Linked DNA regions of Arabidopsis thaliana. The protein of the gene in region 2 purifies or fractionates together with the protein of the main gene of each other region. This does not show direct contact. Each region holds a gene or a part of one and is shown on either strand. Other genes may lie near its edges.

Region 1 (15,756 bases), about 15 Mb from region 2:
CATTTTTCCATCTGCTTTTGGTTGTGGCTTAATTGAGACTGTTAATACTGTAGGGAGGATAAAGGGGAGAGTCTGAGAGCTACTTACGTCCACACAGTGAACCCAACCACATCCTTTGGTGCAGAACTGATCCGTCGCTTCTCCAATTATAACAACAGCTTCACCGTCGGAAGCTCTCACTCTGTGGATCAATTCACAGTGGTTAAGACCAGATTTTCTAACAGTGGGAAAGCAGGGATGGTGGTCCAGAGAGAATGGAGACCGAAGTCGCACATCACTTTCTCAGCTGAGTATGACTCAAAGGCTGTGACCTCTTCACCAAAGCTTGGTCTCGCCCTCGCCCTCAAACCATAAAACAAGAAAAGAGCTCTTATCAGTTTGGAAAACACAAACTAAACAATTCAATTTTTCACCAAGTGCTAAAAAAATCACCCCCAAACGAACGGTTTGTAGGGTTATTGAATCACTTTTGCATTAATATTTGTTTTTTCATTGTGATGTGAAAGAAAAGGGAGTGAGCAAAACCCAATTTTTTTTAGATGGAATCTATTAATTTTTTGTTTCTTTAGACTTTGGTTTCACTTGGTTCGATCGATCTGTATAAACGTACGACACCGTGAACCCCTTTGTTCACCTCTAGTATAGAAGAGCCATATAAAACAGTTGTGATGCCGAAGAAATAAAAATAATCACTACTGTTCATACGGGCCGGGCCGGCCCATCTGCACCAAAAAATGTTAGATGCAACCTTATAAGTAATAACTCTATGCATGGGCTAATTATGTATGTTGTACTTGCCTAAAAACGAGAGAGAGATTAAAAAAAAGGTTAATATTCTTGATGTCTAAAGGCCAAGTCCCCAAGATCCTGTTTTTGATGGTTAATATGATGATACGAACGAACTATGAGTTTAGCGATGAAAGCGAGAGTTCCTTTTGAAAAGGTCAGAAATCTTGACCAATATTTAATGTTCTCATGAGTTACAACACCTTTGACATTTCTGTATTCTTTTATCATTTCCGTTTAATCTTCATAACTTGCAAACTTCAAATACCAATAATTCGTTGACCAAAAACTGATTCCAATAGTTTGAGAAAATATCTCCCATATATTTCTCCGAAAATCCGATGCATACTTTTCAGAAATCGTAACTCTTTAATGTAAAAAATTTAACGCTGAATCGAAGGGGGTGTTATTGGATTGTGACTTTGAAAGAGTTTTAATGACTTTAAAAAAATATAGAAAGTAGATAAAATGAAAGATTTTAAATGACTTTTAGAGAGTTTTGTATAATCTCTATGATTACTTTTCCAAAATCTTGTAAAATCCTCCTATAATCTTGTAAAATCTTCCTAGTTACAAAGTCATTCACAATCTCTCTTTTTTTATGATACTTTACATGATTTTAGTTTGTAAAGAAAAGTGTATAAAATCATAAACCAGTAACACAATAATTTAAATCATTAACAATCATAGATTCATTTGTTTTAGTTGAATAACACAAATTTTTTAATGACTTTATTAGAGTATGAATCTAATAACTCAAGATTTATGAAGACTTTAAATTACTTTTTACAAATCAAAATCTAATAACACCAAACTTTAAAAGAGTCTTATAAAATTTTAATTGAATAACACAAGATTTTTCACAACATTTCAAATCATTAAAAATTCCATATAAATCACAAACCAATAACACCCCCGAAGTAAACGAAAGGTAATATAACAAAAAAGGTAATACTCAGTTTAGGTGATTCTTGGTACTATTGTATATGAAGATTTTTGTCTTGTAATATACTCTCTGATCATGTTTCCCTTAATGTCAATTTTATTTTGATAATGTGAAGATACTATGATATATATATTTGGCATATCTAAATTCGATTTTTTTGGGGTCCCAAATATCAAAATTGGAAATAATAAACGTTACATAATTAGTCCAACCCATACAATATGTTCTCAAAGTATCTGTCACACTGTCATATATTTTAAATTTTCTATTCCAAATTATTTGCATTGTTTTGAACTGCCGCACATGAAATGTTTGCCTCTATTGATTCAAAAAAAAACTTGTTTTGTTCTGTGTTAAAACTACTTGTTAATGTAGTTCACAAAAAAAAAGCATATGCAATTCGAATTAACAAAAGAAAATATACGTGGATCAGTAGATGGTTTCCCTTGGATTGGAGGAAACGTGAATATATCTCCAAAAAATTGTAATGTTTTGAAAAAAACACAAACAAACACCAACATATGTTTCTTCTGCATGTTAAATTTTTCAGGGGGCGTTTTACTTAGCTGTACTTGTCTATAACTTTTACTCTGCAACAACCCCAAAATCTTTTTTAACCTCATTCACTTTTGTGGACTATCACATCATCACATCAACTCGTTACCCTTTTTTATATTCATACCTCCTGGAAATAATATTTTTCTTTTTTGGTAAATGGATATCTTAAGTTTTTTTTTTAATTCAATCTACACAGTAATTACTAGACATATAACAAAAAGATTGCGTGCCTAATGATAATCACTTCATTTCTCCTAAAATGTAAAACAAAAAGAAAAAAAAAACATTTATACTAAATTATTAATCAATATTGAAAAGATGACAATTTTGTCACACACTAGAAAATCCGTTACAAATTTTGTTATTTATATAAAAAGTCTAAAGACGTTACTTGAAAAAAGCAAAGGAAAAGTCTAAATCCATTATTTAGGAAAAAGAAAGAAAACAAGAAGGAAAGTCCCAAAATCAAATCCAGCAACTCCATTACTAATTAGCCTTAAATTCAACATTTCATATTCAAAGAAATAAACTCCAAATCCCAATTTTGCATTTTGTATATACTCTTTTTCTTATTTTTACACTTGTTCACTTTTAATGTCCCCCACCTATCTCCCTCTTGCCCTCTTTCACCATCACCAGGCTAATATTATAGCTTTTCATATTTTCTTTTCTCTATCAAAGTTTATATATTGAGACAAACCCTTCTCTTCTTCTCTCTTCTTGATCTCTCAAAGCTTTCACCTTTCTCCTTCTTCTCTCTCAAGTTTTCATTGCAAATAATCTCTAGTCGATAAATCCAACGAAACCCATCTTTTATCTCTCTTAATCTCTTAAACCCACAAATCTCTCTCACCTTCTAGAAAATAAATCTCTGTTTTTGACCAAAATCCTCTGTTTTTGATCAAAATCCTCTGTTTTCACTCTGTTTTGACAAAAATCCTCTGTTTTCTTCACTCTGTTTTGCTCTGATCTAACTTCAAAGCAAAAACAATGAAAGAGTATTGGACATCATTAGCTTCACTACTCGGAGTTTTAGCATTTTGTCAAAGCTTAATGCAATCAATATTCCCACCGGAGCTCCGTTTCGCTTTCCTCAAATTCTTCAACAGAATCTTCCACGTCTTCTCTTCTTACTGCTACTTCGACATAACAGAGATCGACGGCGTCAACACCAACGAACTCTACAACGCCGTTCAGCTTTACTTAAGCTCCTCCGTCTCAATAGCCGGAAACCGTTTAAGTCTAACCCGCGCCGTTAACTCTTCCTCCATCACTTTCGGTCTCTCCAACAACGACTCAATCGTCGACACCTTTAACGGCGTTACAGTTCTATGGGAACACGTCGTTACACAGCGTCAAACTCAGACTTTTGCTTGGAGACCATTACCTGAAGAGAAACGTGGATTCACTCTACGAATCAAGAAAAAGGACAAAACTTTGATACTCAATTCTTATCTTGATTACATCATGGAGAGAGCTAATGAGATTCGTCGGAAAAACCAAGACCGGTTGCTTTATACTAACTCAAGAGGTGGGTCTCTTGACTCAAGAGGACATCCTTGGGAATCTGTTCCTTTTAAGCATCCGAGTACTTTCGAAACTTTAGCTATGGATCCGAGAAAGAAGCAACAGATCATGGATGATCTTAAAGATTTTGCTGAAGGTCAAGTCTTTTATCAGAAGACTGGTAGGGCTTGGAAGAGAGGTTACTTGTTGTACGGGCCACCAGGTACTGGTAAGTCGAGTATGATCGCAGCGATGGCGAATTATCTCGGTTACGATATTTACGATCTTGAGCTCACTGAGGTTCATAGTAACTCGGAGTTGAGGAAGTTGTTGATGAAAACGAGTTCTAAGTCTATTATTGTTATAGAGGATATTGATTGTTCGATTAATTTGACTAATAGGAAGAAGAATAGTAGTAATGTATCGTCGCAACGGAGTTATTATGATGCGGAGACAAGAAACGGTTCGGGTTCAGGTTCGGGTGGTTCGGGAGAGGAAGGTGGTAATGGGAATACTATAACGTTGTCGGGTTTGTTGAATTTTACAGATGGGCTTTGGTCTTGTTGTGGAAGTGAGAGGATCTTTGTGTTTACGACCAATCATATAGAGAAGCTTGATCCTGCATTGCTTAGAAGTGGGAGAATGGATATGCATATCTACATGAGTTTTTGTAACTTCCCATCGTTGAAGATTTTGTTGAAGAATTATTTGGGGTATGGGGTGGAAGATATAAACGGCGACGTTTTGAAGGAGATGGAGATGGTTGTGGAGAAGGCTGAGATGACTCCTGCTGATGTAAGTGAGGCTTTGATTAAGAATAGGAGGGATAAAGAGAAGGCGATTAGGGAGTTGTTGGAGGATTTAAAAAGTAGAGGGGAGAGAAATGTGAAAGATGGGAAATTGAGGGGTGGAAGTGGGAATTTGACTGAATTGGAAGTTGTTGAGGAACAAGAGAAGAGGGCAATAGATAGTCAAAATGAAGATGAGGATCATGATGAAGAAGAGATTGAGCTTGAGGATAACATTTGTAAGACTAGAGAAGATTGAAATGTGTTTTTGTTGTTTTCTTTTAAAGTTTTATAATGTAGAACATAATGGTCAAAGGTTATGATATTTCTTCTTCTTTTGGTTGTTACAAGTAGATGAAACATGAAAGTATGAAACTCGGAAGTTAGAAAGTGAAAGAAACAAAAATGTGCTACAATGAGAAAAGTTTTGAAGTAAAAAGAAGAGTGATTAAAAAAGGAGGTTCAAGAGGATTTGGCCAAAAAAAAAAGGGAGTTTCAAAAGGCAAATGGTTGATGAAGATTTTTCTATGTGGGGAATGGGAAATGCAAAAGTGGATCTCATTGGGTGCCATTAGCATTTATCACTATGCATAAAATAATTTGGACCAAATATTTGTCAAACTATAACCATGTGTTAGTCAATAGCATGTTAATATTTAAATACTAGTATTTTGCCTATACACATATACCAGGTGTTTGGGTGGGATGGTGATATGTTTATTGTAGAAGGTTTGGAAGCAATTAAAACTTTTAATAATTTTAATGCATAAGTTATCCAGTCTTAAAGAGGCTAATAACCCAAACACCTAATCTCATCTACTAAAATACTGAAAATACAGTGGCTACTATTGTTTTGCATATAAACAAGACGGATAAAACTATGGATTATTATTGAAGAGTGAAGACACATGATTCTCGAGTCAAGACATTATTGAATAATGAATACTTAAAAATGTTTTCAGACATCTTGCTCCAACTGACCTTCGTGTATAGCATGTACTCGCCATTTTATGTAATATAGTGATTGTTATAATAGGTGTAAAACCAAACAAATAATTGGTCCTTTTTGTGTAGTGATAAATAGAGCTGTCATATATTAGGTATGGCCGGTTGGGGTTGAGAATTCATCCCTTAGCTTGCAATATAATACGTTCTTATATGTCAATGAACACTCAAATTATATGTTTTATTAATCAAATGTGAAGTGTTAAAGACTTAAAGTTGACGATTTGGTAGGCCAAGTTGATCAATATCTCTTTTTTCATCATCTCTTTAGAGGTTTGTGTTTAGGATCCCACAGCTTCTGCTTACTTTTTGAGTAATTTACAAGCAATTGCTATTAATCAACTAGTTTATTATATTAAATCTGGACAACTAGACATGTCACTCTACAAATAAGAGACAAATATGTAAATTATTATTGATATTTTAATTTTGTAACCCGTAGTTAGGAATGGATTGTACTTGGTGCTTAATACCCACATGACATTATCATTTTAAATAAAGAAATGTCATAGTGGATAATTGACCTAAGAATGACATGTTCTATGGATTTAATTCGGCGCGCTGGTATGATGTGAGATTAGTATTTTTCGTAATTGTTAATATACTCAGCTGATTTTTTTTAATGCATCATGTAATTGACAGGAGCAAGATCTATATGACTATATGTTAAGAATCATGTGGAATCAATCCCACTTTTTAAAATAAACATGATGTATAGTAAAGCTACACAAAATGTGTTGTATACTAGGGAGATGAGATCATACTAAAACCATAGTGTAAATCTTTAATGGGGTTAAGGCCTTATTCGAGGGAGATGATACTAGAACCATAGTGGTTATTGTTAATGTCACTAAAAAATAGGTCATTGCATGCACTATTTTACATCAAAAAAAATTGCGACAACTTGCAAACGGGCACTAGATTATGACACTATATCAACCTTAGTACTCAAGACTATATTACATGTTCTGATCAATCAAAACATCTATACTTTTTACTGTCTTAAGTTTGTTATGTATAATGTAATATGATATTTAGAGATCAACAATTTCAAAATGTTTGTGATTGTCTTTACATAATAATAGCCTTTGTACTTCAACAACCACCACAATTATTTTGATACTTTCATCACAACAATTAGGAGAATCTTCCACTTTACCATTTTGCAAAGTATATTTGATAAACTTAAATTTTGTAATCCGCATTTCAATAATATAAAAATGTAAAAGCAAATCGAGTAAAACAGATAACATAACAATGAAGAGAGGTCAAGATACACAAGTACACAAAACCTTACATGACACATACCAAAAAAAAGAATAACTCTCAACAAAGGCCAAACTCAAGAACATTAGAGAAAATTATAAACAATGTAAATCTTTTAGAGAGAAACTTTTATCAATTGCACATATAGACTCCGGTTTCGTACCTGTGATCTACCTCAAAGAAATCTGTATTTCCCTCAGCAGCTGCACGTAGACTGATACCAGACAGAGAAGTATTTCCCTGTACCGAGAATTTCACATAGCAGATGATATCTGGTTCTTCCTCGCTGTTATCTGAATCGATAGGCATCCGTGCTCTTAGTCTCCCGGGACTTCCATTCAGAGGAATCTCCGGAATTTGCCATTTCAGTTCTCGATCGGTTCTGTTCAGTATTGCTTTAGGCGAAACCTTAAGCAATGTGGGATCAACCGGGAGTTTTAGGATAAAGTCGACGTTTTTCAGAGGCTGAGGTAGATCCGGATTTGAGACGTATTGTATCATAAGTGAGAGTAAAGTCCCGCTGATTCGTTTCACCATTCGGACTCTAAGAGGCAACGGGGTTAGTTTAGGTTGCAAGCTATATTTAAGGATAGGGATTGGTTCTTCTGATGGAGCAGTTCTCACGTGAAACAAACCGTTCCCTAAGCTACTGATCCGAGAACTCTGCATAGCAAATCTCTTAACTGCAGTAGTACCCTCAACACGGAATGAGAACTCAGTTTCTTTCTCTTCACCAGAGCCTTTGGGTGGCATCGTTTTCAGATAGATCACACCCATTACTCCTACTCTAGCAAGCAAGGATTCTCTAAACTCGGTTCTAATTTCCTCAGAGATATACATTTCAGGACCTTTCATCTCAGGCTTCTTAACTAGGTTATCGATATTAACTCCATCTTTGCCTTCCACTGCTTTCGGATCACTGGTGTGCAACAGCTCAAGCCCACCGAGTCCTTCCTTCTTCTGAATCTTCTTTGGTCCCATAAACTCTGAAGGATCCAACCCACCTCCCCAAGCATCACTAAACGATTCAAAAGTTTCTCCAATCGTAGCCTGTTCATTGCTGAACTCAATCCCACCATACTGCCCTTCGAATCCTTCCACATTGATGTGCGTAGACTGTGTTGCCTCGGCTGGAGGTAATGTCGTCACTTCAAGTCCAGCCAATGCCAAAGTCAAATCCGTTGAGGACGGATCCTTAGTCTTCTTGAATCCACCCACAAGTTCTTTCTCCTTGTTAATCGTTTCACTAGCCGCAAAAGGATCCTTATTCTCCGGCTCTGGTTCTTCCTTCAATTGCTCTGATTCAGGCACCACTGGAGCCAAGCTCGCCGCGAACTCATCTCCAGCGGCAACAGTCTCCGGAGGCAATTCAAATCTTGCATTAGAAAATGCGTTTACAGAAGCTTGATGCTCTGCCGCATGCGATTCAACAGCCATCCAACTATCAGCTCCTCGGATCTTATTCTCAGTATCAAGAGCCGAATGAACCATCTTCGCAATCCCATCTCCGTGCATAGCACCAAGCATCGCCGCAAGACGGATATTACTAACACCACGCAAAACAATATCAAGCGCCATATAAACCTCAGCATACTTCCGTCCAAGCTTCTCCGGAGTAACTTCAACTCCACGACAAGCAGTAACAATAACACTAACAGCTTGATTCACAATATGAATACACTCAAATACATTGATCGAATTATCATGATCCGCGACAGTAACACCAAGGATATAGATCGAGTTCACTAATCTATAAACTACACGATACTTGCTCTCAACACCAACAATAACCTGTCCATTAGAAGCAGCGAGTGGATCATCACCTACAAACTCCGCCGCCGTGGCATCGTCAGGATCCGCAACGGAGGAAGAAGAAGAAGAAGAAGAAGAAGCTTGATTCTGTTTCTGATTCGATTGTTGCTGATGCTGCTGCTTCGAGGACGCTAATGCTTGACGCATTTGACGAAAATACGAGAGAGCGATTAAGGCTCTTGCTGGTGGAAACCATTCTCTAGTTTGGAGCAAAATGTCGGATCCATTTGCTGGTTGCAGAGCTAGGGCTAAACACGACATGATCCCGATTCGAAATTGATCTCGAAGCTTCTACTAATGGTGACTATTCAATCTCAATGGTTAGATTGAAACATCTGATGAAGAAATCGATCAGATCTGAGAACTGAGAAGAATCGTCGGAGAAGAAAAGGAGAAAGAGAAATGAGATCTTCGTTGTTTCTTTCGAAAACGACGTCGTTTGTTTCATTACTCGTATCCTACCTGCATGGACCTAATGCGATGGTTTGAAAATAAGCCCAATAGTAGACGTTTATTCTTAACTTATTGGGCCTAATGTCAAGGTAAGAAGCCCAATAATATGATAAAACGATGTCGTTTAACGCGATTAGGTCTTTTTAAATTTTGTAGCGCTTATAACTTTTGCGATTTTTTTTTAATTGGTAGCTTTTGGCGGTGAAATGCAAAATGGGAAAATTAAGCCGGAGAATCTCCTCCGACGATCGCCGACGAATCGTAAACTAACCACAGGCTGTGAAATCCTCGACGGATGTCTTCGCGGCGGAATTTCCTGCGATTCTTTAACCGAAATCGTTGCGGAGAGTGGCTGCGGAAAGACACAGCTCTGCCTTCAGCTTTCGCTCTGTACCCAACTTCCGATTTCACACGGCGGACTCAACGGTTCTTCTCTTTATCTCCATTCAGAGTTCCCATTTCCGTTTCGTCGTCTCCATCAGCTCTCGCACACGTTTCATCAATCAAACCCTAGTATTTACGCGAATTACAATGATAATCCTTGTGATCATGTGTTTGTACAAAATGTCCATTCTGTAGACCACCTGTTCGACATAATGCCTAGGATAGATGGGTTTGTTGGGAATTCGAAAACTAGGTTTCCGTTGAAGTTGATTGTGCTTGATTCTGTAGCGGCATTGTTTAGATCGGAGTTTGATAATACTCCGTCTGATCTTAAGAAGAGATCTTCTTTGTTTTTCAAGATATCTGGGAAATTGAAGCAGTTGGCTAGCAAGTTTGATTTGGCTATTGTGATTACGAATCAGGTTACGGATTTGGTTGAAACTTCTGATGGGTTAAGTGGGCTGAGGATTGGGAATTTGAGGTATTTGTATTCGTCTGGAAGACGAGTTGTTCCTTCTTTAGGCTTGGCTTGGGCTAATTGTGTGAATTCCAGATTTTTTATTTCACGAAGTGATGGTAGTATTGTTAAAGATAGAAGTGAAAAGGACGAGAATTGTTCAAGTTCTGTGTCCAGAAGTGCTAAGAGACGGCTTGACATAGTGTTTTCACCTTATTTGCCTGGGAGTTCTTGCGAGTTCATGATCACACGAGAGGGGATTTGTGCGGTTCAAGCGTAGGTGAACTCGGGTGCTATGTAGGATAGTTTTTGTTCGAAGCATCACCGGATTTTTTGGAGTATTTGTTCATTAGCCATTATTTATGTACATTGCAGAAGGATCCGGAGATGGGTTGCAGCAAAGCCAGGTTTATTTTTTCGGATTCCTCCTCTTGGTTAGATGTGATATGTGCTTGTTTTTAGTTTATAAGCATTCTATGTTCAATTATTCATAATAAAGCTTTTTAAAAGATTCCTGTTAGCTCCTAAGTCTACTGCAAGCTTCTCACTTTGTTCTCTGATTCTCTTTTCTTTGCATCATTGAATTTGCACGAAGTCGAAAATTTCCCACTTGGTTGCTATCTTCAAATCGTTTCATTTGTTGAGTAAATTGCTGATGTGATCTTTATATCTGGCCGTAATATCTTTATGAATAGGTAGTGTTGATCATCCTGGTGGATATGGTTTTTGTATTTATTTTCACTTGAACTCTGTAGCTAATTTCTCGATTCTAACCAGAAAATGACTGAAACCACAAAATATGATGATGCATGCCTTCATAAGTGCCATAAGTAATTAATCTAGTTAACATACTTCATTGTCCTATTGGTAAGCAAATGGAGTTAAAACAGATTACTTGTAGCTAAAAGATCTTTAACACTTCGATTGTTTTCTATTTTTCCGTGGTTATTCAGTGGCAGAGGAATCAACTGCAGTTCGAGAGGATCAATTCAGCCTCTGATGTATACAAGAATGAGAGATTCCGCCTAAGGCTGTTGCTAAAAACAACCATTGAATCATCTGAAGGACACGACGGAGCTCTACAAGAGGAAAAATTTTTTGGCCGTTGTTGGTCTTTGGATTAACAAAAGCTCTGTATACGAATCTTCACTTTTATTTTGTATAGAAGAAGACTAAACATATTTAGTTCCAATGTATAAGTTTCAACATCTCTTATTAGCACTCTTCACTATGAGCAAAACTTCTACTCTCTATGTGAACCGGCCCATTTACAAGATACGGCCCATGAACCTTTTGTTATACGTCATAGTGACATCACTCTCCAGCGTAAAAACTAACTTCCGACTGAAACTGGATTCGGTTCGTCGTTATCGGTATCGAATCAACAATGTCGAATCCTGCAGCCGTCACCGCCGGCAGAGGATCAATCACTCACGTCATATTCGACATGGACGGTCTTCTTCTCGGTAATCTCCTTGCATCTGATCTTCAATCTCCAGCTTTATTAGATCGTACTACTGTCACTATCGTTGTTTAGATTTGATGGTTTTTTTAGTAGTGACTGTTTAGTTTCCAGGATTGATTTCATACAATTGATGTTAAGATGCTAAAGCAATTAGCTTGAATCTGATCGGAAATCGAGCGATTGAGTTTTTGTTCTGTGTATTCAAAATCTCACAACTTCATTGGCTTATCTGCTCTTGCTGCATACATTCATGCTGATTTGGTTTCTGTTGCAGATACTGAGAAGTTTTACACTGAGGTCCAAGAGATTATACTTGCTAGGTTCAATAAAAAGTTTGATTGGTCTCTCAAGGCTAAAATGATGGGTAGAAAAGCAATAGAAGCTGCCAGGATCTTTGTTGAAGAAAGCGGGATTAGCGACTCTCTTTCAGCTGAGGACTTTCTTGTCGAGAGAGAGTCAATGTTGCAAGACCTTTTCCCTACTAGTGAGCTCATGCCAGGTAGATTCTGCTTTTTGTAACACATGACATTTGGTTCACAGGAAGATTACATGTACGGATATTTATGTTTTTGATGTGGTCATGAACCAATTCTCTTCCACATTTTCAGGGGCTAGTAGACTCATTAAGCATCTCCATGTAAAGAATATTCCAATATGTATTGCTACCGGGTAATCTCTTCACCTCATCTCATAATATACCATTTAGTTTGCATTCTCATTGTCCTTTACAATCCAGAAACTGACTTGTTATGTTTGATTGTACGCTTGCAGTACTCACACACGGCATTATGATCTGAAAACCCAAAGACACAGAGAGCTTTTCTCATTGATGCATCACGTAGTTCGTGGTGATGATCCAGAGGTGAAGCAAGGAAAGCCTGCTCCTGACGGGTTTCTCGCTGCTGCTAGGAGATTTAAGGTAACTAACAGGCAACAGTCTCCAAGATTCTCCATTACTAACTAGTTCATATTTAAAATGAGTTGTAGACTAATGTTTCCTCTTCGTCTGGATTCCTTAGGACGGTCCTGTGGATTCACAAAAGGTTCTGGTGTTTGAAGATGCTCCATCTGGAGTTCTTGCTGCTAAAAACGCCGGAATGTAAGTGGGTTTCTCTTCATGTAAAAGCCAATAAAAACCGAGAAACAAGTTTATACATCTTGATGTCTATCTACAGGAACGTGGTTATGGTACCGGATCCTAGACTAGATATCTCTCACCAAGATGTTGCAGATCAAATCATAACCTCTCTAGTCGATTTTAAACCGGAAGAGTGGGGCTTGCCTCCATTCGAAGATTCGAACTAAACGATACAAACGTCTTCAAGGTAATGATAAAAACTCAAATCATGAAGCTTATTCTTTGTCTTGTTATATTGTTTTGGCATGTACATGACAAAGGCCATGAGGCTTTATGTCGTCAAGGGTTCTATGATTTTCTGGCTATTGAAGACATAAAAAGAAACTAAGTGGTGACATGACGAGAGACCAAACAAAAAAATTTGCCTCAACGTTTAAACAAATTATTTTTGTACAACTACTCTTACCCACAAGTTTCAACATTGGCTTATCTTATTTTGTTCTTGTCGGTATAGCTGAATTGATTCCTTCTTTATGGTTTGGAATCTCTCTTCTTTACGCATCACTAACATGTGTTGTTACTGCAACGTTTCATGTTTTACACTATAATTAAGAAAAATAGGTTATATTTAGTATTACAACTTTTTTTTTATTTTTCATTTCGTACGTGAACAAAGAAGCAAACACATCCAATGATGATTTTACAGTAATGCCATTAGGATTCAACCGACATCGGCTGTTACAAAACATCGTATGACATCGTTGCAAAAACGGTCTTTCTCCTCCTCACTCGTTTCTTTTAACTTGTCTTGTGTTTCCCTTGACCGGCAAGATTCGAATTCTCTTCGCTACACGAACAAAGTCCCTGTGTCAACAAGCAAATTTTCTCGTTAACGTCCAAGTATTAAAATATTGCCAGTTAAAGATCACGAAACCTTCAAAATCTAATTATACTAAACATTGAACGAAAACCGTAATTTTTAAGAAAGATATATAACGGTATCAAACAAAATAACTATAGCCAGCAAAATTGAGTATACAGAATAAGGATAGCAACAAAATATCATTTCACTAAATTATTGATATTTGTCTTTTTAGAAAAGCAGAGAACATGTGTTTTCTTGGCAGCTTGAAAAACTTGTGTTTGTAGTATTTTACCGTTAGGGGAAAAAAAATTAATATAGTTTTCCTATGTTTAAAATAAGGCTCGTTTTATATATAGTTTGTATATATATGGCCATCCTGACAATAATAAAGAAAATTAATGTTAGGGGAGGAAAATTACTTCCAAGTAAGATCTCCGGCAAGAAGGAGATCGTTCTCCATGTCTTCATAAGCAATAAGATGGCCAGGAATGGCGTTTGACAGATCAAGATCGTCCGTTGAATCAGCTCCATCGACAAACATTTGCCTTAGAGCCGAAGCCAAGCTCTGATAACTCCCATGCTTGTCTAGGCTTATGCGTTGACATATAGAACGTCCCTCTAGCACAACCGTAACCGGAGGAACCACCGATGAAACAAGATCGTCCTCTACGTTAAGCCCAAAGCCTTGGAATGATCTCCCGGCCGCTCCAGAGCTGGAGTTGCTATTATTATGGTTTTTGGAAGCCGGTTTGGGTATGAAAGGTGTCGTGGTGTCACGAGGTTGTTGTGTGGTGCTGTTGTCTTGATGAAACCTTCTTTGCAAAGAGTCTTGGCTTTGTGGCTCGAAACTATTCATATTGAGAGTAGGGTTTTAGGGCTTTTGTAACTTAGAGAAGACAACGGACGCTTACATGGAACTCAAAGTGTTTCGTGTTTTTTTGTTAAGCTAGAGAGAGACTGTGTGTTTGATGAGATTCTGGTGAAAGTGAATGTATGTACATATAAATAGATAGAGAAAGCGTAAATTGTGTGGCAAACAAAAAGGTGTCTTTTATTTTTCATTTTTCAATTTTCGTTTGGTTTAATGTTGTCTTAAATGTTTCATTTAATTTGAAAGTACATCTGCTCTTTGGATTTCTCGTTAGACAATGAATCCTCAATTAACAATCAATTTAATATTTAATTATTCAATGAACAATTGGATTCACGTAAAAATGTTCTCACATGCTTATGTATTAAATGTGTTTTTACAATTATTGTATTTTGCTAACTTATTCTACTATATATCTATCACTGCGACTGTGAGAGTAATAAGAGCTGTTACAGGAAATGTTCCAAGGTTTCACTAATTTTGACCATATATTACCAGCAAGGTATTAGGTATTTATGTATACAAGTATAAAGAAATTTTAAAATAAAAATGTTTGGAAATGTTTACGTGGACAAAAAGAAAGCTGATGGGAAAACATAAAAACAGTGAAAAAGAGTCAATATAATAAGAAATGTGAATTAGCTAGAAAACTCCAAATTAATTAAAGACATTATAAATTGGTGATTAATTAAATAATGAAAGAAGGTATCATAGAAAAAGAGATCTTGTAAATTGTAACGCATGGGCTGCGGAGACGACCGCGCTGCCGTCGCCGAACGCCTCGCTTCCTTGACTCGCGCCTGGTCGGGAGTTCCACGTCATTTTCTTTTCATACACTAATACACACATCAAGCATACATACGAAGAATATAAAAATTGTATTAACCGGTAAACACACGCATATATCCACACGACCACACATCAACGTCATATAGAATATACATGCATAGCCATTTATCCATGTAACATCACATACACACACATGAATACGTTTAACGTTTGATCTCATACTTCTCGGATTTAACTCGGTTTGACGAAAGTAAAACAAAGTATTAGACCTTGGTCCAAAATGTAGACATCACCCCTCTAATAATAATGAAAACTCATGTTATTTGGGAGGAGTTGTTTAGAGTGATTAGATCCAAGAAAATATGTGAACTTAATTAGAAATTTCTTAGATCAAAAAAGAGGGAAAAAAAGAAGAATTGCACTCTAAACTCATACAATATAATCCAAAGTCTTTTCGGTTATAGATTTTGGTGTACGGAACTTATCTGAAAATAAATAAATAACAAGTTTGTTCGAGCTACCTAAAATTAGTTGATTCCAATTCAAGTCATTTTAAAACATTATACACGATTTTAAAATCGCAAATAATTAAGTTGAGTGACCAAATGTATAGGTAAATCATGTATGAGTCAAATAACTGTGCCTAAAATTGTAATTTTATGCTAAAATGTTGATTTTCATATGGACTATTAAATGAAAAATTAACGGTGGATCCAACAAGCAATAG
Region 2 (16,209 bases):
GAAGACAATGAAGTGCCCTCTTAAGATCATTGCTCTGCATTGCTAGGTCAAACTCCAGCCTGAGAAAACATAAAGTTAAGTCAAACTCGGAACCTAAGTCAAAGTGAAAAAAAAATCTCTGATGCCATTTTGGTTGAGTTGAACGCTAGGATGAAGGATTCAATACATGAGTGAAATACTGAATTCTGTTTACTGTCCAGCATAAGCAATTCAGAGACTAGAAAAAACTGTCTATAGTAGAACCAAATTGAAGGAAAAGCGGCACCAAAATATTATATGTTTTATTTACCTCTTAGATATTCCAGGCAAATGAAGAGCTTCTGTTGCGTATCCCATCCCTAGCATAAACTGTGCCAGATCGTCATGATGTTCTCTCCCAAGCCTACTTGCCCTGCGCAAAAAAAATGTTGTATAAGGATTCCAGCTACTTAACTACTCACATAAACACGAGATTATGAGAAACATATCCATACCATTTAACTGCACTAACAGCATCCCCGTAAGCAGCAAGACAGCGACAGCGGATACCAGGATGATTAAGGGATATGGCATGGGCACACATGTACCTACCAAGAAATGGAAGGAGGTGTCAGACAATAATTTCTATCTTCTGTCTAATATTTCTTTATTCATTCAAGCAACTAAAATGACTATCATGGCAAGATATTGTATTCAAGCTTAGTGCTCGAGGAAACTTTGGAATGCAGAATGTCAGATTTCAGTGCCTACCTAGTGCATAATATAAATGGAAAGGAAAATTCATAATCTAATTAAATATAAATATCTCAAATGAAGATAAAACGATTCACCAATTCATACAGTCAGCATCGAACAAGGAATGTATTAACAAGAGTCAGTCTTGTCGTAAGGTAAGAACAGGAGACTCATAGTACCTGTCAATGAGCCAAAGAACTCCATCCCGCACACCGGCAACAACAAGAGGCCCCACTGGTCGTTTTTGCTCCACTGGGAAACGAGTAACAGCAACTGAGACTCCTCCACCACCCACAGCTACCTCATTGACCCTTCTTTCATCCATTATGTCATCGCTATCACCTCTAGATTGTCTTGGCAATGATAAGAATGGTGGAACAGATGGAGCATTTTGGAAAGAAGCTAAACGCACCACCTACAATTAAAAGGTATACACATAAGGAAGACTCTTGCTAGTTTGACATGAATTGACATAGATGTCGACACATATGCAGTACAAAACAACACGCTTAGACCTTAAAAATTATGCTTCCCAATAGCTTACAATATTTTCAAGTAAAAGTAAGAAAAATCTACCTGCAGCATGGGGGGCCTTAAAGATATCCTTTCTTGCTTTGCAGCCTGGGAACCTTCTACTGTGATTAAGGCCAACTCTCCATGCTCTGCAACTGCTCTAGCCTGCGCCTCCTTAAGTTTCATTTCTTCCTTCATCTTCCTAGTCTCTATATCAATTTCGGAAACTCCCGCATCCACAAAAACACATCTGGAAATCCAGGCATGGAAGAAAGTATTAGCATTCCTCCCCAGATATTTGTTTTAAAAAGTAGCAGATAAAGGTAGCCATGCGTTTAACAAATTCAGAATTAGAGCAATTCTTTTCAAAACATAGTAATCTCTGAAAAGTTGGATTATGCACCATCTGAATAATCAATAATTGTTGATACACATCCACCGCAAAAACACAGATTCAATTTTTAGTTTGTTTCATCCAAGTGGAAGTAGCATTTAAGGTAACTGGCAGAAGACAGAAAAAAATCATGTATCATATATAGAGCAATATGCTTACTCAATCGTGGTTGGTGTAGCCACAAACAGCTGTCTGCGATGCCAAACAGCTCCAGTAGCATGTGCAATGGCAACATCACCAAGATATCTATACTGAGGGCGCAAGGACGATATGACCATGTATTGTTGATAAGCAAAAGCACAGTATTCAACTGTTTGGTCCCATGCCGTCCATTCTGGCTGAGGTAGCATACCACCTACTGGCTCAAAATTTTCCCAACTACACATTAAAAATTCCATTTAGATAATAGAGAACTGAAATCCTTCAAACAAAATTAGAGCTAGCCAAAACATAACTATGGGAATCAGTACAGATTGGTGAACAGTGCTTATTATTCCATCAAACAAGAGTAACTATCTCCCAGACATCTCAGAGGAGGAAAAAAGACTCTGATTTGGTCAATATAGCTAACTAAAGAAAATGAAATGTAATAAAATATGCCCAACAGCTAGCTGCCTGCACACTATTTTAGTAAAAAGAGTGCTAACAGAAATGAGCCTTGCATAAAAATAAGAAGGACAACGCTAGTTTTACCTGTAGAGCTGGTAGTTTAGGGGTGCAGACTCAGCAGACTTCTGCGAAGAAAACCCATCATCATAGCTAGAAAACGAAGAAACATTGCTGTTTCCAAATCCCGAGAGTGGCATCGACTGAATGGTTGAAATAGCTGTTGCAGCAACAGGACTAATCCTTCGGGATGTGCGATAACCTATACCAAGTAGAGCACCACCATGCAGACCAATGACCTGAAAGGAAAATTATGAAGCATACGAATGTTGCTTAACCTAGACGTCCAGCATTGCATACTGCTCTATGATCAATTTTTCAAAGTAACAAAGATAACCCACCACTTGAAGTCAAGAAGAACTCTCAAGTAAGATTCTCACGTTTAGCAACCTTTCCTTTTAGTCAAATTCAATTAATAAACTACTGTGTTCCAAGTATGACATTTTTTTGTACTAATTTTACAGTATTTTCAATGCAAACCAAAGCACACAAATTCTTAGGAGCATGATTAGATTAAATATTCAATGGATCTGCTCTAGAATACATGCAGATGATCTGGTATAAATGAAAAAAACAGACACATACCGGTTCAGAGCGACCTCCTACGGATCTCATGAGTATGTTTGAGGTACCATCATCCAAGAGAATACGAACTTGGACACTAGCCGATGAAGCTGCACTGGCAGCAGCAGCAGCTTGAGCTGCAGCTGCAGCGGCTTCTTTTGCCTTTCTCGATGAACCACCCTTAGGGATTATAGGCATTCTATGAGGTAACACAGATTCTAGAATCGCAAATCTGTCTCGACATGTATCCCACGCCAACAGTCTTGCACTTCCAGAGTCAACAATGGACCAGTCACTAACCTTGTAGATAGAGAAGTATAGAATATCCGGCCATACAACTGCCACATACCTACAATCAGAGAATAAAGTTAGCTGGCTAAAAAAAAAAAAACTCAACAAATTAGCTGAGTTAAGAAGAAAATTATATTCATAAAAAACAATTAGCTAAGGAACTTACTTCCCTGAACTGCTCACAGAAAGAACTGAGTATGAATCATGTGGAACTGGTGCCACGATCTGCTTTTTGGTTTGCTTTACAGTTAACTGTTCACCTGGGTCTCCCTTAGAAAGCCCTGATTCGGACAAGGCACTATTATTGCCAAGGGATGGGTTGGCTGTGTTGGATAGTTGAAAGTTCAAGAGCTTTAATTCTCTTCCAAGGATATATATAGCTGAATTCTCCCGACTTCCAGGCAGTGCTGGTAGAGGAGCTGCAGACGGGATAGCACGAGGATCAAATTCACTAACTATAATACCAACATTGGTACCAGTTGCGACGAGATGTGGTTGTAGAGGATGTGCAACCATACAATAGACCTAAAAAATGGAAATTAATAAGTACCTGATGAGGGTTACTACCAATGTATGGAAGCCATGAAAGCGAAAGAAGTACAGAAGCAATGCTATTATAATTATGCAATAAAGAAACTAGCAATCTTTGAAAATCATCAACTGGCGGTTTCAAGTAGAAAATGAACCCCGAATATTATCTGCAAATTCTGAAAAAGGAATAACTTTCAACTTTCGGGTGCAGCATGTGCTTTCCCTATCACCATCTGACATAAAGATTACGTATCTTCTCCATTGCAATTTTCTTTTAGATAAATTTAGTGTTCAAACAGCTATCAATTTAAAGTCTGCTATATACAAAACTTTTCTGCAAGAAGTAATACAAACAGTTGTATTCTATTCTTATTCTTATTCCTAGTCTACTTGAGTCAGAATACCTTTGCATTGCCAAGTGCAATATTATACAGCTACACAACTTCATCATTTGAACCATAATAGATGCATTTTACGAGATAAGAAGAGAAACTAATGTTTTGTGGGACACATAGAATGGAGCCTCAGAGAGCAATGCTCATGCTCAGGCTTGAGCATGAGCTATTGATATAGTATACAACTAGCAGGCAGAAAGAAATGATATGATACGTGGTAGATTTCGAGGATTTCATCAACAATGAGCTAATTACCCTAAGTTTTCTGTGGGTTGCAAGTACTTGAGGCGGAACCAAGGAAGAAAGTTCACATAACGGCCTTGTCAGGGCCGAATAAGTTGGATGCTCAATAGACCTGCAAAAATTCAAACAATTAGACCACTCATCTAATATACATAAATATATTCTACCATATACAATACCAAATCTTAAACAAAGATACCATATGTGTGAATCTTTAACGCAAGTCAAAATATCAAGGTTTGGCGCTCGAGGGTGACACCAAGATGCAACACTGTGGCAAGCTAGTTTCGGGACAGGTTTAATTCTACGTAGCTCCTGTAGAATAAAAGTAGATATGCATGTTAATAAATGAGATCGGGAAAATATGAAAAATCCATACATGAGATACACCATTACCTTAAATGTCATTGTATCCCATATGGCCAATGTCTTGTCAGCCCCAATTGTAATCAATTGTGGAGCACTCCCACTTACCCTTGACAGCTCAACAGCCACCACCCCACCATCATGTGCCTAATACAATCAGAACAAAAACATTAGAAGAAGCCAAGAAGGGATTAGGAAAAAAAAAAAAAAAAAGTATAACAGAGAAGTGGAAATTATCCACTCAATTAAGCAAACATGACCATGTCTATTACACCAAAAAAAAAAAAAAAGCACGAGCATGTCATAGTCCCCTAATCATTACTCAGCCTTTTATAAAAAGAATGAAAGAATATCTAAATGCAAGTATCCAACATTCAGAAACAGACACAGAAATCAATTCAGAAGGTTCACTGGAACTAAGAACAATGGTGCCTTAGCCTCAGCTGTAACCAAATCTGGCAAATCTTTCCAGGCCTAAGAATTGAACGGTCATGGTAATATCCTCTCTTGAACTTTGAATGAAAGAGTGGGCATAATTGAGTACCTTTAAGCTAAGCTTGGGTACAAGTTCCCTTGAGTCAGCGCCATGATCGGCACTCCACAGTACAAGTAAGCCATCACTGCCACCTGAAACAAGGAGTGCCTGCAATTGCATTTAGATAGAGGATGGCTAGTATCATGTATTGCACATAAATAACAGAGAGAAAATACTTGATAAGCATTCATTAAAAAACGTCAAGTTATATAAAAGGGAAGAAAGCCCAGTACTATCAGAAATTCGCTATTAACATAACCTAAACAAGCAATTGGGAAAAGAGATGCCAATGTTTAAAATTCCCGCCGCTCCTAATGCCTAGGCTATGCATGAAATTTAACCCGAGTACAGATGATCTAAGAAACTAAGGCTAGATATTTGGATTGTAAAACAGGTATCCGTATAGTAAGGCCTGCTGCGGTCTGGACTCCCACTTAGTAGAATGTGAGATTTTTACGTCGCTAAGAAGAAAGAGATATATGTAGGAAACTTCCAAGACGATATGCTCAAGACCTCGTTTTCATATAATATATACAGTCGATCTTAGTAGGTGATCTTGAGTATGTTTTTCTAAGTTACATGACACTTTCATCTATCAGATGGTATTAACTATTAACATATTAAGTAAATAACTCGAAATAAATTCAGAGCAATAAAGAGGGCATATATAGGGAATATGTAGTTACTTCGCCAGATGATGCCATGAAATTCATCAAGCAATAAATGGATCCTTTATGGCCACCTGTATATCGACGTGCAAGCTGCAAGGAAGTAAACATTCAAGGAAATTAACACAGATCAGTATCAAAATCCCTCACTCTAAACCCAGCAGAGAAACCAAAAAAAAAAAATATAATTTTGAAACAAACAAACCTTCCATGTTATCATTGATAAAACCCGAATGACACCATCAGTTGAACCAAATGCAACTAAAGGGCCATCACCACCAGATGATCTCGAAAGAAACTCCATGCTGCAAAGAAAGGAAGAATTCTAGCAACATTAAGGAGGAGTAGAAATTAAAAATGTAGAAAGGGAGTTTGGCCATTGACTGAACATTAAACATCAAGGAAGCCTGGTATCCATTACACTTAGAACACACATATCCATTACACTTATGCCTAGTCTACATTTGACTCAAATATTTCCAGCGTAGTAACTAACGGAGGTCTTTCCAGGATTCAAGTGATTTAAAGATAGGAAGCCTAAAGTAATGGAGCATCTTCCCCGGGGTCCAGGTGTCAAGCAAACCCATATCCTAAAATTAGAGAAAAAGCAATGAACTTACCAGAGAAGTGACTTGTTATCAAGCTCTTGCTTTGGCACATCACGACCACGCATTGTCACCAAATCCAAGAAAATAGCTTTATTCTCACAACAAATGACCAGAAAATGACGGCCTTTAGTCGATGGAGCAGGGGAAGTGAAAGCAGATGTCAGATGATTGACAGCTGATGGAGATTCAGCAGCTGCGGAGCGGTTGCGCCACAGTTGCCAATAACGCACATCATCGTCATAAAACTTCACCTGCTTAACGCTAGTAGGTGCAAACATTGAGCAGATAAGTCATTTTTCTCATTATCGAAAGGAGCAACTGAATTAGCAGCGAGAAAGATCTATCTACTACCTTCCTCCTCGAATGGCTTCAGTAGGCTTAGCTTTATAGTCTGAGGAAAATACGAATGTCAGTAAGAACATAAAGCATCAGAAACTCATACTCATTTCACCAGAATAGAACAATGGCTCACCGGATTCTCCTTCGGCGAGCTTCTCTAACTTGGCACCAACTAAACGGCGCTCGTCAACTCCGCCGGCTTTCAATTCATAAATTACCTAACACAATAGACATAAACGTTGACAGATCCACGATTCGAAATCAGAACCGGAACCAAAATCAAATCAGAATCTCGATACAGACCTGACGATGCTCCCAATTCCAGACGGAGACGTGATCTGAATCATCAGCCGTAACAAGCCATGGATGCGTAGGATGTACCTGTATCTTCACAATCTTACCATTGGTCTGCCGAAATGCTCTCGCCCGCAACATTTCGATCTCTCTCTCTCTCTCTCACAGTTCTTCAAGATCAATTAGACAACTCAAAAATCTGAGCACAACTGCATCCGCATAGACGATTCGACTCACGAGAAACTCTCCAGAGCTACACACTAAAAATTTCCAGAAAAAGCAAGCAGGGCTATGGTCAGATCCAGATCAATTAGATCCACCGCGGTTATCAAATGAAATGCCCGGATCCACCACCACTAACTACAATCGCCGAACAAAAACTCCGGTAGTGTCTTCAGACGCGAAACGCGTAAAGCGCGAATTTGCGAAGGCTAGTCTGATTAACCCAAAAAAAAAGGCCCAATAACAATTGTTTTAGCCCTTTCCTTTGTCGCAAAATATATTCCATTTACGGAAATTAATTGTGGATCCGTTGGATCACTGAACTTTTTTTTTTCTTGTTCATAAGTTTCTTTTTTATTCAAATTATGGGTTTACAAACATCACTAAAGCCCAGTCATCAAAGTATTTCACAAATCCATAAAGGGTACAACTAAACACCTTGTAGTAAAGAGTACAGCGCTAATAAAACAAGTCAAAGCAACATACGACACGTGGATGTGACTTTTCTCTTACGCCGATGATTGTTTCATCGTTATCTCCCAGCACCACCATCAAATCCGATAACCCACCATTTCCTCTACGACAATCTCATCACGCTTGTAAATCTGACTCTCTGCTCCACAATATCCAGAGTTTATATTTGATCTAAATTTCTCCAGAACAGCAACGATCTATGACAAAAGAGAAATAAAAAACCATGATTTCTCTTGATGATTAAATCTTACCAGATATGCCGAATTGAGATTCTAAATCAAAGGATTGAGAGAATCGATTTAGGTTGAAACAAACTCTAATAGTTGATTAAAACCCAAAAGGTAAAGATTAGAAATGAAACAAAGATTGACTTTCATCTAAATAAGGATGCAAAAAAGCTTGAGAAAAGAGGATGATAAGGAAAACCCAAAAAAAAATTGGTACTAAGATCACAATGATTATTGAAAAGCAGAAAGGTAAAACCGGTATCAAAGAACTGGAAACTAAAGCCGGATTCCACTAAAGAGAAAAGTAGAAACCAGACGGCGAGATAAGACGGCAAAGCCGGACCACGTCCGGATACAAAAGCCAGCCACCACCACTAAAGAAGCCAATTGATGCTGGAAACGAACCAACCATCGTCGTTAAAGAAGCCGAACGATGTTGGACGGAGTCTTGCCATGAATCGCTTTTTCTTTCTCTGAAAAATTCAAGTGAGAGAAGAGAGAGAAAATCGAGAAGCCTCCGATCACTAAACTTTTAAAGAGAATTCCAAATGAATTATCTCAAACAAAATGACTATAGTATTTGGTGTAATAAGGGTTTACTATGTTTACAACTAAATCTAGAATTCGATAAAAAGATTTGCAATCAAAATTAAAGTCTTATTTAATCTTCAATTTAATTTAATTTTTTCTTTACAGGTTTCATTGAAGTTTACTCAATACACTTCGATTTTTTGTTTTTCCCGTCTAAACTTGTTTTCCTCATACACTTATAGAAGATCTTAACTTAATAAAGAACAATAAAATCAACGCCGCTTGTCTTCTTCAATGCGAGTGTAACCACATCGGACTTCCACGAGCTAAATATGATCTGCATCGACCTTCTCTCATTACGCTTGTGGCTATATCTCGTGCGATGAAACCTTAAATACGATCTTATCAAAATTCGGGAGAAACCAATGAATCCTATCAAGATAAGATAAATACGTGGCCAATCTAATGGGTCACTAATGGCTTCCATAGGAGCACCATAGTCGGACCAAATCTCAATATTATAGAAGTGTAGATCACATAGACTGTGTAGTACCCATAATATCCCTCTCAACTCCGCAGCAATACGATTTGATGTTGGTAAAAACATTTCTCCCGCATGAAAAACAGCATCACCATGATGATGCCACATATATGAGCATCATGATGATGCCTGACAATCCATGTACAATACACTTCGATTTATTACGCTTTTTTTTTAAAAAAAATTTTATAGCCAAAACATGTCAGACCATATATTCTAAAACTAGTTTCATAAAGCCACTTTTGTACACAAAGAAAATTAAAGAATTACTGTATTCTTATGTACGCAAGTCTCCGGTTTAAGTGATGTTACTTCGACTTAAAACAAATCGACTGTGCCAGCTCCGGCTTTTCCCAGTTTCAATAGTCGATAACAACACACTCAACAAGTCCTCTGCTTCTTCCTCCGATGGAAACTCTAAGTTAGTCTGAAGAAGCGGCTGTGCTGAAGGATTGTTCCATCGTTTTTTGGTCGGGCTGCTCTTCTTTTGCTGGTCCTGTCTCCAGTTCCATACACCATCTGAATTGCTTCCTATGATGCGGACTACTCCACCGCTGCAATCTGTATGTATTACACTCTCCAAACCGATTTCTCTTTCGATATTCCATACCAAATCTATTGGAACTCCGAGAAATCCCTGTTTTCTGAAATCTACCAAGCTCAGGCTGCTTAGAACCAATACCAGTCTCCCTGTGATTACAACGAAAGCTCCTTCTTGTTTCAGGGCTTTGCACTTCACCAGCTTCTCGCCCTTGAACTTCAGGGAATCTCCAACCTCCATAAGTACTGCTGTCCCGACCGCTTCTTCCCATGAGTAAGGCCTGAGAGGTTGTTCTCTACTCAGAGGCCTCGGAAGACGAAGCCTATGCCTTTGGGATCTTATGTTATGAATCCTGCTTCGGTTTCTTATACTCTGTGCGGTTTTTCCAGTTACCTCAAGGATACTAGCGGTTGGTCTGGCCACAAGTCCAGTAATCCCCATGGCCACTCCTGAACCATATATAGGCACCCAGTTAACATGCATAAAATTAGAAAGCCAGAAACAAAAGGACAGCGTGTACACGAACATCAAATGTCTTGAATGTCTATAGATGACTTGAGCGGTGGTTCTCGCTTAAATACCTGAGATAACGCCTGGAAGACCATGTTTCTCAGCTCCTCTTATTGGTGATTGAAGGAGACCAGTGAGTCCCTGTGATGAACATCGTGTCAGCTGGCATGCTTAAATTCTTTATGCAAGTTCAGAAGAATTTGACAGAAGTCACTGACTTCAAGTAACTTTCAAGACTAAGTGAACATCAAATCAGTATATAAGACATACTTCCAAAGAAAGTGCAAATAACATACCTCAAACACTTCACCTATAACTCCTTTGCTACGCGATCCTTCACCCAATTGCTGCTTCTCCATCCTTGCAACATCATGGTCATTGAATGTAAATGCAACAATACCCTGCAACGAATTGGTAATTCTGTAAATATTTCTTGAAGGAGGCGTCTACACCATAGATTTTTAAGCAAACAGATGCATCGTACCTTGTGTGCAGCTTTACTAAATTGAGTGGCAGCATCACTTAAAGCATAAATAGTGCTACTGAAGAGACTTGTGGTTCCGTGAGCCATTCCTTGAATAATTCCTGCTGGGCTCTGTTCAAGTAATCTAGGTTAGCATATAAGTTAAAAGTGACTAAACCAGACATTACATGAAAATGTTAAGCAACAAAAAGAGATTTTAATCATAACCTTTGAGATACTCCTGCTGGGAGCTGACAGGAAATCTTTAATTCCAAATGCAACATTCCTCGCAAACCCCATGGGATTTCCAATAACACCAGCAGAGCCGAAAACCTGTGTTATAGTACATTGCAGAAATACGTCCAGCAGGTATATAGGGAATAGTATGAGTGCTCTAGGAAATAAAAACACTAAGTGAAAAAGTGACATTTTACCAGTTCTTACCTTGTAAATCTCATGAAGAATTTGGCGGGTATAGTGCCCAACAAGGATCTCCTGAAATGATTCCCAACTAGTAATTTGATGAGCAATTGTCAATTGTTTGAGATGTATTCGAGCACCCTCGACATCGGCAAGAGCCATAAGACCTCTCTGAAATCGAACATAATGATTCAGTTAACCATATTAAATATAACATCCTTCAATTAAGAATTAACATGGCGTTATAAGAATAATGAATCAATATTATGTTATAATCCTTGGACCAGAAACGAGTTGGTTTGGGGTCACTAATCACTCCCAAAGTCATAAAAGCTCCTAATCATTGGTCAAAGAACACTAATCTGTTCCCTTCCTTCTATGTATAGTCTATCAGGTAATAGTACCGGAGTTGAAACAAAGAGAATATCGCAAAAAATTCAAAATGGGTATTTGGCCAAGAAAAGAAAGGAATCCTATTAAAAACCTAACGTCAAAAATCCTTTATGCATTTAATATAAACAAAAATAAAATTCTGCAATATATCTAAGGAAAGAAAAGTGAAGGTACATACATGGATAAGGGACTCTCCTGAAGTAAGAATGCCGTTCCTAAGCATCCAGGGAGCACTGCAGAAGCTGTCAATATTGTGACACACAAAGGACCCATGTGAATCTACATGTAGATAGGTTACCAAAAGTATAGTTATCCTGAAAGGACAATTTCTATCTCACCTTAAAGTAAACTGAATAGGGGCCAAGTCAAATGTTTCAACATAAATTTTCCTGCGTCTTCGAGCCAACAAGTGAATATGCTGCCAAGGAGCTCCTATTGGAACCACTATAGGCAGAGCTACAATGCTTCTCTGGTTTTTGTTAAATACAGGAATGTTTCTTGCATGTGGAGTATCTTCTGAACTTATATCCTTGGAACCAGTGTCATAAATCAGAGGACGTAGCGTTGGATCTGAGAGCGGCAGGAGTCTAGCCTGAGAATTGGGAAGCACTGCTTTTACGAACTCCAGTAAGGATAAAAGTGTTTGTAGCTCCAGCTCAAGTCCAAATTCACCAATCCTGCATTTATTTAAAGCAAACTGAGAATTGGGAACAAAATGTATATAATTATAATACAATGAACTGTGTGGATACTAAGGAGAATGTTGACCATTAATCATACCTAATATTTATGTACTCAAAAGAAACTAGTGAAACATCTTTTTTCCGCCACTTTGCTAGGTCAACGTAGACTACAGCATCACAGGAATTACCCCTAACTTGCTGAACAATTTCACTTAAAAGTATTGCTTTGTTGTTCTTCATTCCCCAATCAGGAGGAATGACTTCGTGGTCATGATTGAATGACAATATGACAGGATACGAAGAATTTTGAAGTGGGTTGTCTATCTGTAGTGAAGAGATCTGAAAGGAAAGCTTCTGCTGATCTACACTCTGACTTAACTCTAACACAACATTTGATGCACAAGCATAAACCAATTCCTGTGAGGAAGATTGGAGCGTTACAAAAATATTGGGATGTAATATAGACGTGCTTTAGATTTTCAGGGGATGTTTACCTGTGGATGAGAATTAACCAAAGATATACCAATGCTTGGCAGGACAAGCAAGAACGTTTCTGTGTAACGGATGATATTGTCAGTTTGAAGCTTTTTCTTTCCCTTCTCATGGAATCTGGAGTCAAATGTTTCCTTTATATCTTTTATGGCGTGATAACCTGAATCTACAACACTGAAAACCTGGAATGGGTAAAGACAAAAATGAACAAGTTACATCAGCAACATAGAGAGACGTAGTTGTCCTCAGAAAGTTAGCTAAGTTTTATGGTGTCAGAGAAATTATACCTTTGTAGCTCCTTCAGCACAGATAGATAGCAACAATGTCCTTTCAGGTTTCTGAAGCAGGTCAATTAAAACAAATAAGTAGATAAGAATACCTGAGACTCAGTGATAGAGTGGCTACAGAAAACTGAAACAAGGATAAATCACGTCCTCTAAGCGCACTTTTGCACTAATTATGTGGAACTCAAAAGAGAGTATCAAAAGAAGGAAAAAATGAATGAAATTGGTTGGTCTTATCAAATATATGCTTTGTTTTCATGTGATTAGCTGACATCTGTTTTCTTTCTTTAGAGTCAATTCAATATCAGTGTAACTTTCAGTGCCACCACTCATTCATTCGACTGATCCAATTTTACAAGGTCTAGCAACAGAAGATATTTACTTAGCCAGGATGATGATACTGATTTGAATTTCTGCATACATACAAAAAAACAAAGCATGCATTCATATTGTCCAGAGCTGCATGCAACTGGTTATTGTATATCATCCAGAGCTGCATGCAACTGGTTATTGTAAAGTTTAATCCACTCCATCTCATCATTTTAGCAGGCCCAGAAAGCCTATACTTGTTGAGTTCAAACTTAATTTGCAAAGGAAATTTGGAGATGCTCTACCTTAGGCTAAAAGATATGAGGATCTGACTCATTCAAATTCATGCGAATATTACCCCAAATTAGACTAACGAGAGATTGGCTAGTTTTTTTTTCCTTCTGTTCATAACCAATGCTTAAGAAAGCATGCTGGTAGGACATTCCAATATATAGATGGGTCTAGCATGTAGGAACCACTCAGTAAAAGCCATGATAACCACAAATAAATAATACATAACAAAGTTATTTGTGATATTATACCTCAGAGGTGGAGCGCAAGTGCACTGCAATAGGTTGTTTTGTTATCTCAAATGCATAAGAGCCTAGAACACGATCTCCGGGTACCTACATTCCTCATTAAGAGAAAAAATGTAAGACAAGGAAAAGAAGAGAACAGCAGCAAATAGAAATGTCAACAGATACAAAGGGCTGATTTGTCATTAAGCAGAAAATGTAATCACCATACCTCAATGGTCAAACGATGTGGATAACAGGGTTCATCCCAAGCATAAGGGCAAGATGTGTAAGGATGAACTATGGTATCAAAAGTTTCACATTTTTGTTGATAAACCCTAAGTCTCTATCACCCACAGAAAAAAAATCCATTTTCAGTTCCTTGTGGGAGCAAGTAAGGGTTTCAAAATCGACAAGATATCATACATTGGTGATTCTCAGAAAGCAAGTTTTCCAGTAAGAAAATGTTTTCACCAACAATTATACTTGGGTCCCAAAATTACATGCTACATTAAAGACAACTAGCATAGTTCCCTCGACGGATGCCAAAGAAAATCATGTACAATTTAGGCCTCATAGATATTGATTACTCAATTTAATTTTCCGAATGCTTTGAAGTATTCAGGCAATGCTACTTAAGTTGTAGAGTTGAACGACCTGTGAACTGACGGGAAAAATAACTAAAACTCTTTAGTTGGATATACAGAATCATCAATCATAACATTACTGACCTCATTTGAGAAATTATCAATCCTGTAAGGCATATAGCCCATGTCGTCATCTGATAATAGAATAAAGTTTGTCCCGACATGTCCATGAACACTCCCTACAATCTTTTCATCTCCGCTTGACATATTGGCATTCTGAACTTCCACCCGCACCATGTTGAAAGCTTTGTTAACATAGTTCCAAATCTTCAGTTGCGTATCCCCTAAATGATCTGGCAAGAAGCTGCCTGACCATTGCCATCCAGGCTCATTTAAACGGATTGAAACTAGCAGCTCCCTGGTTATATACAAGAGTAAGTGGCGTATAGGTAGAAACCTTTTGACTGTAAATTCTCTCAGTACAAAGGTAAGATAAATGTAGCAACAGTGGTGGTTTCAAAAAGAAAACCACTCCTTAATACCAAGAATGTGTTGTATATAAGACATAGATAAGTAAACGAACCTAGTAGTATCTGTCCATTGAAGCTGAGAATGCTGTCCAACAGCCAGATGAGAAACTAAATTGGTTCCCTTCTGCTTGTAACACAGGTTATGGCTGCATGAATTACAGATGATATATCTGCAACATGGGAATTTGTTTAGTGGATACTAGGGATAATGGTTCAGGAGAAAACAGAGTATTTGGTGAAACTGTCTATCACCTAGGTTGGAAAGTAATTGCTTGCGTTCTCCCTGCTAATGCACCACCAAGAATAGAACATGTAACAGATAATAAAGATGATTCACCAGGCGATGGTTGTGGGACAACTACATTTGTAGAACCACTGGGTGGAACGAGAGGAAATGGAGCAGACCACAGAGGGTATGGGCTACTTGAATTAACCCACCCTGGCAGGTCCCTTTTGACTCGGATCATGGTGTCACTGACTCTGGAAATAGGGCAAGGTGAATAAATGCATGCCTTTACTTTGCCAGACTCATCATTACCTTGGAAGCACACCTCTCTTAAACTTTTTGAAGAAAGGCTCCTCTTGCGAACAATTGCTGAGTCTTTTGGATATGCTGCAAAAGGGACTTGGCGAGTTGACTGAGTCGCATGCTTATCTATAAATCTCTCAGTACTGGAAGCAGTGTTGCTGCACTCCGATGAGGAAGGACTACAAGGAATGTCCTCCATTACAGCTTTATCTAGCAAATCTTTCTCAGAGGTCAAAATGCCAAGACCAACTTTTCGACTTTGAACAAAATGCTGCTCAATCAGGTTGTAGCAAGACGGTATTACGCTGTAAATCCCTTTAGTTTCATTGGTGCAGTCCGAAACAATCAGAGGAGTTCCAGTGCAGTTATACAGTAAAAATGGGACAAAGATTAATACTTCCCGAGCCCCACATGTTGCATCCATTGTTTTCTCACACGATACATAAACAGAACCTATAAGAAAATCAATATTAAAATTGTCTCAAAATGAGTAGCCAATTTTAAACATAAAGAGGTAAATCTTACCACCACCAACGTGTGAATCAAAGGAAATAGTTTCAATCTGAGAGAACTTCCCTCCACTGAACTTAGCCTCTGTGCTAAAAGTTTCTGAGCGTGAAAACTTTAAAGATGATGTTCTACAGCCATTTAATTTGAACTCAAGGACCAGGTCATGTGAAGGATCAATATGATGGAATGGCGTCTCCCCCTAAAAATAATACATTTTATTGTCACATAAATAATACCATATAAACCATATAAAAACATGATTTCAACTCTTATCTTCCAGAACGAAATTATTTGGAAATATCTCTCAGACCTCAGGAAGGGATGCAG

Evidence for each region.
Region 1: the proteins of AT5G24710 (region 2) and AT5G57460 fractionate together in Arabidopsis thaliana (co-fractionation; one large-scale study listed by BioGRID). This does not show direct contact.

What each region holds. Positions count from the first base shown.
Region 1 is NC_003076.8:23,268,493-23,284,248, reverse strand, and holds AT5G57460 (muniscin carboxy-terminal mu-like domain protein), read right to left. Parts: upstream 9,140-15,756; 5' UTR 8,929-9,139; coding exon 6,988-8,928; 3' UTR 6,761-6,987; downstream 1-6,760. Other genes in the region: VDAC4 (voltage dependent anion channel 4), read left to right, coding at 54-354; AT5G57480 (P-loop containing nucleoside triphosphate hydrolases superfamily protein), read left to right, coding at 3,281-4,843; XRCC3 (homolog of X-ray repair cross complementing 3 (XRCC3)), read left to right, coding at 9,327-10,241; GS1 (Haloacid dehalogenase-like hydrolase (HAD) superfamily protein), read left to right, coding at 11,349-11,427, 11,701-11,925, 12,035-12,095, 12,198-12,345, 12,446-12,525, 12,602-12,731; IAA33 (indole-3-acetic acid inducible 33), read right to left, coding at 13,290-13,368, 13,789-14,225.
Region 2 is NC_003076.8:8,460,659-8,476,867, forward strand, and holds the start of AT5G24710 (Transducin/WD40 repeat-like superfamily protein), read right to left. Parts: upstream 7,516-16,209; 5' UTR 7,263-7,515; coding exon 7,131-7,262; intron 7,046-7,130; coding exon 6,961-7,045; intron 6,880-6,960; coding exon 6,840-6,879; intron 6,750-6,839; coding exon 6,501-6,749; intron 6,186-6,500; coding exon 6,086-6,185; intron 5,974-6,085; coding exon 5,899-5,973; intron 5,321-5,898; coding exon 5,222-5,320; intron 4,825-5,221; coding exon 4,708-4,824; intron 4,627-4,707; coding exon 4,511-4,626; intron 4,424-4,510; coding exon 4,324-4,423; intron 3,668-4,323; coding exon 3,309-3,667; intron 3,201-3,308; coding exon 2,873-3,200; intron 2,527-2,872; coding exon 2,315-2,526; intron 2,000-2,314; coding exon 1,781-1,999; intron 1,478-1,780; coding exon 1,291-1,477; intron 1,130-1,290; coding exon 894-1,129; intron 567-893; coding exon 474-566; intron 392-473; coding exon 290-391; intron 60-289; coding exon 1-59. Other genes in the region: AT5G24740 (vacuolar protein sorting-associated protein, putative (DUF1162)), read right to left, coding at 9,415-10,106, 10,239-10,308, 10,464-10,568, 10,652-10,762, 10,859-11,221, 11,622-11,685, 11,782-12,120, 12,224-12,543 and 9 more.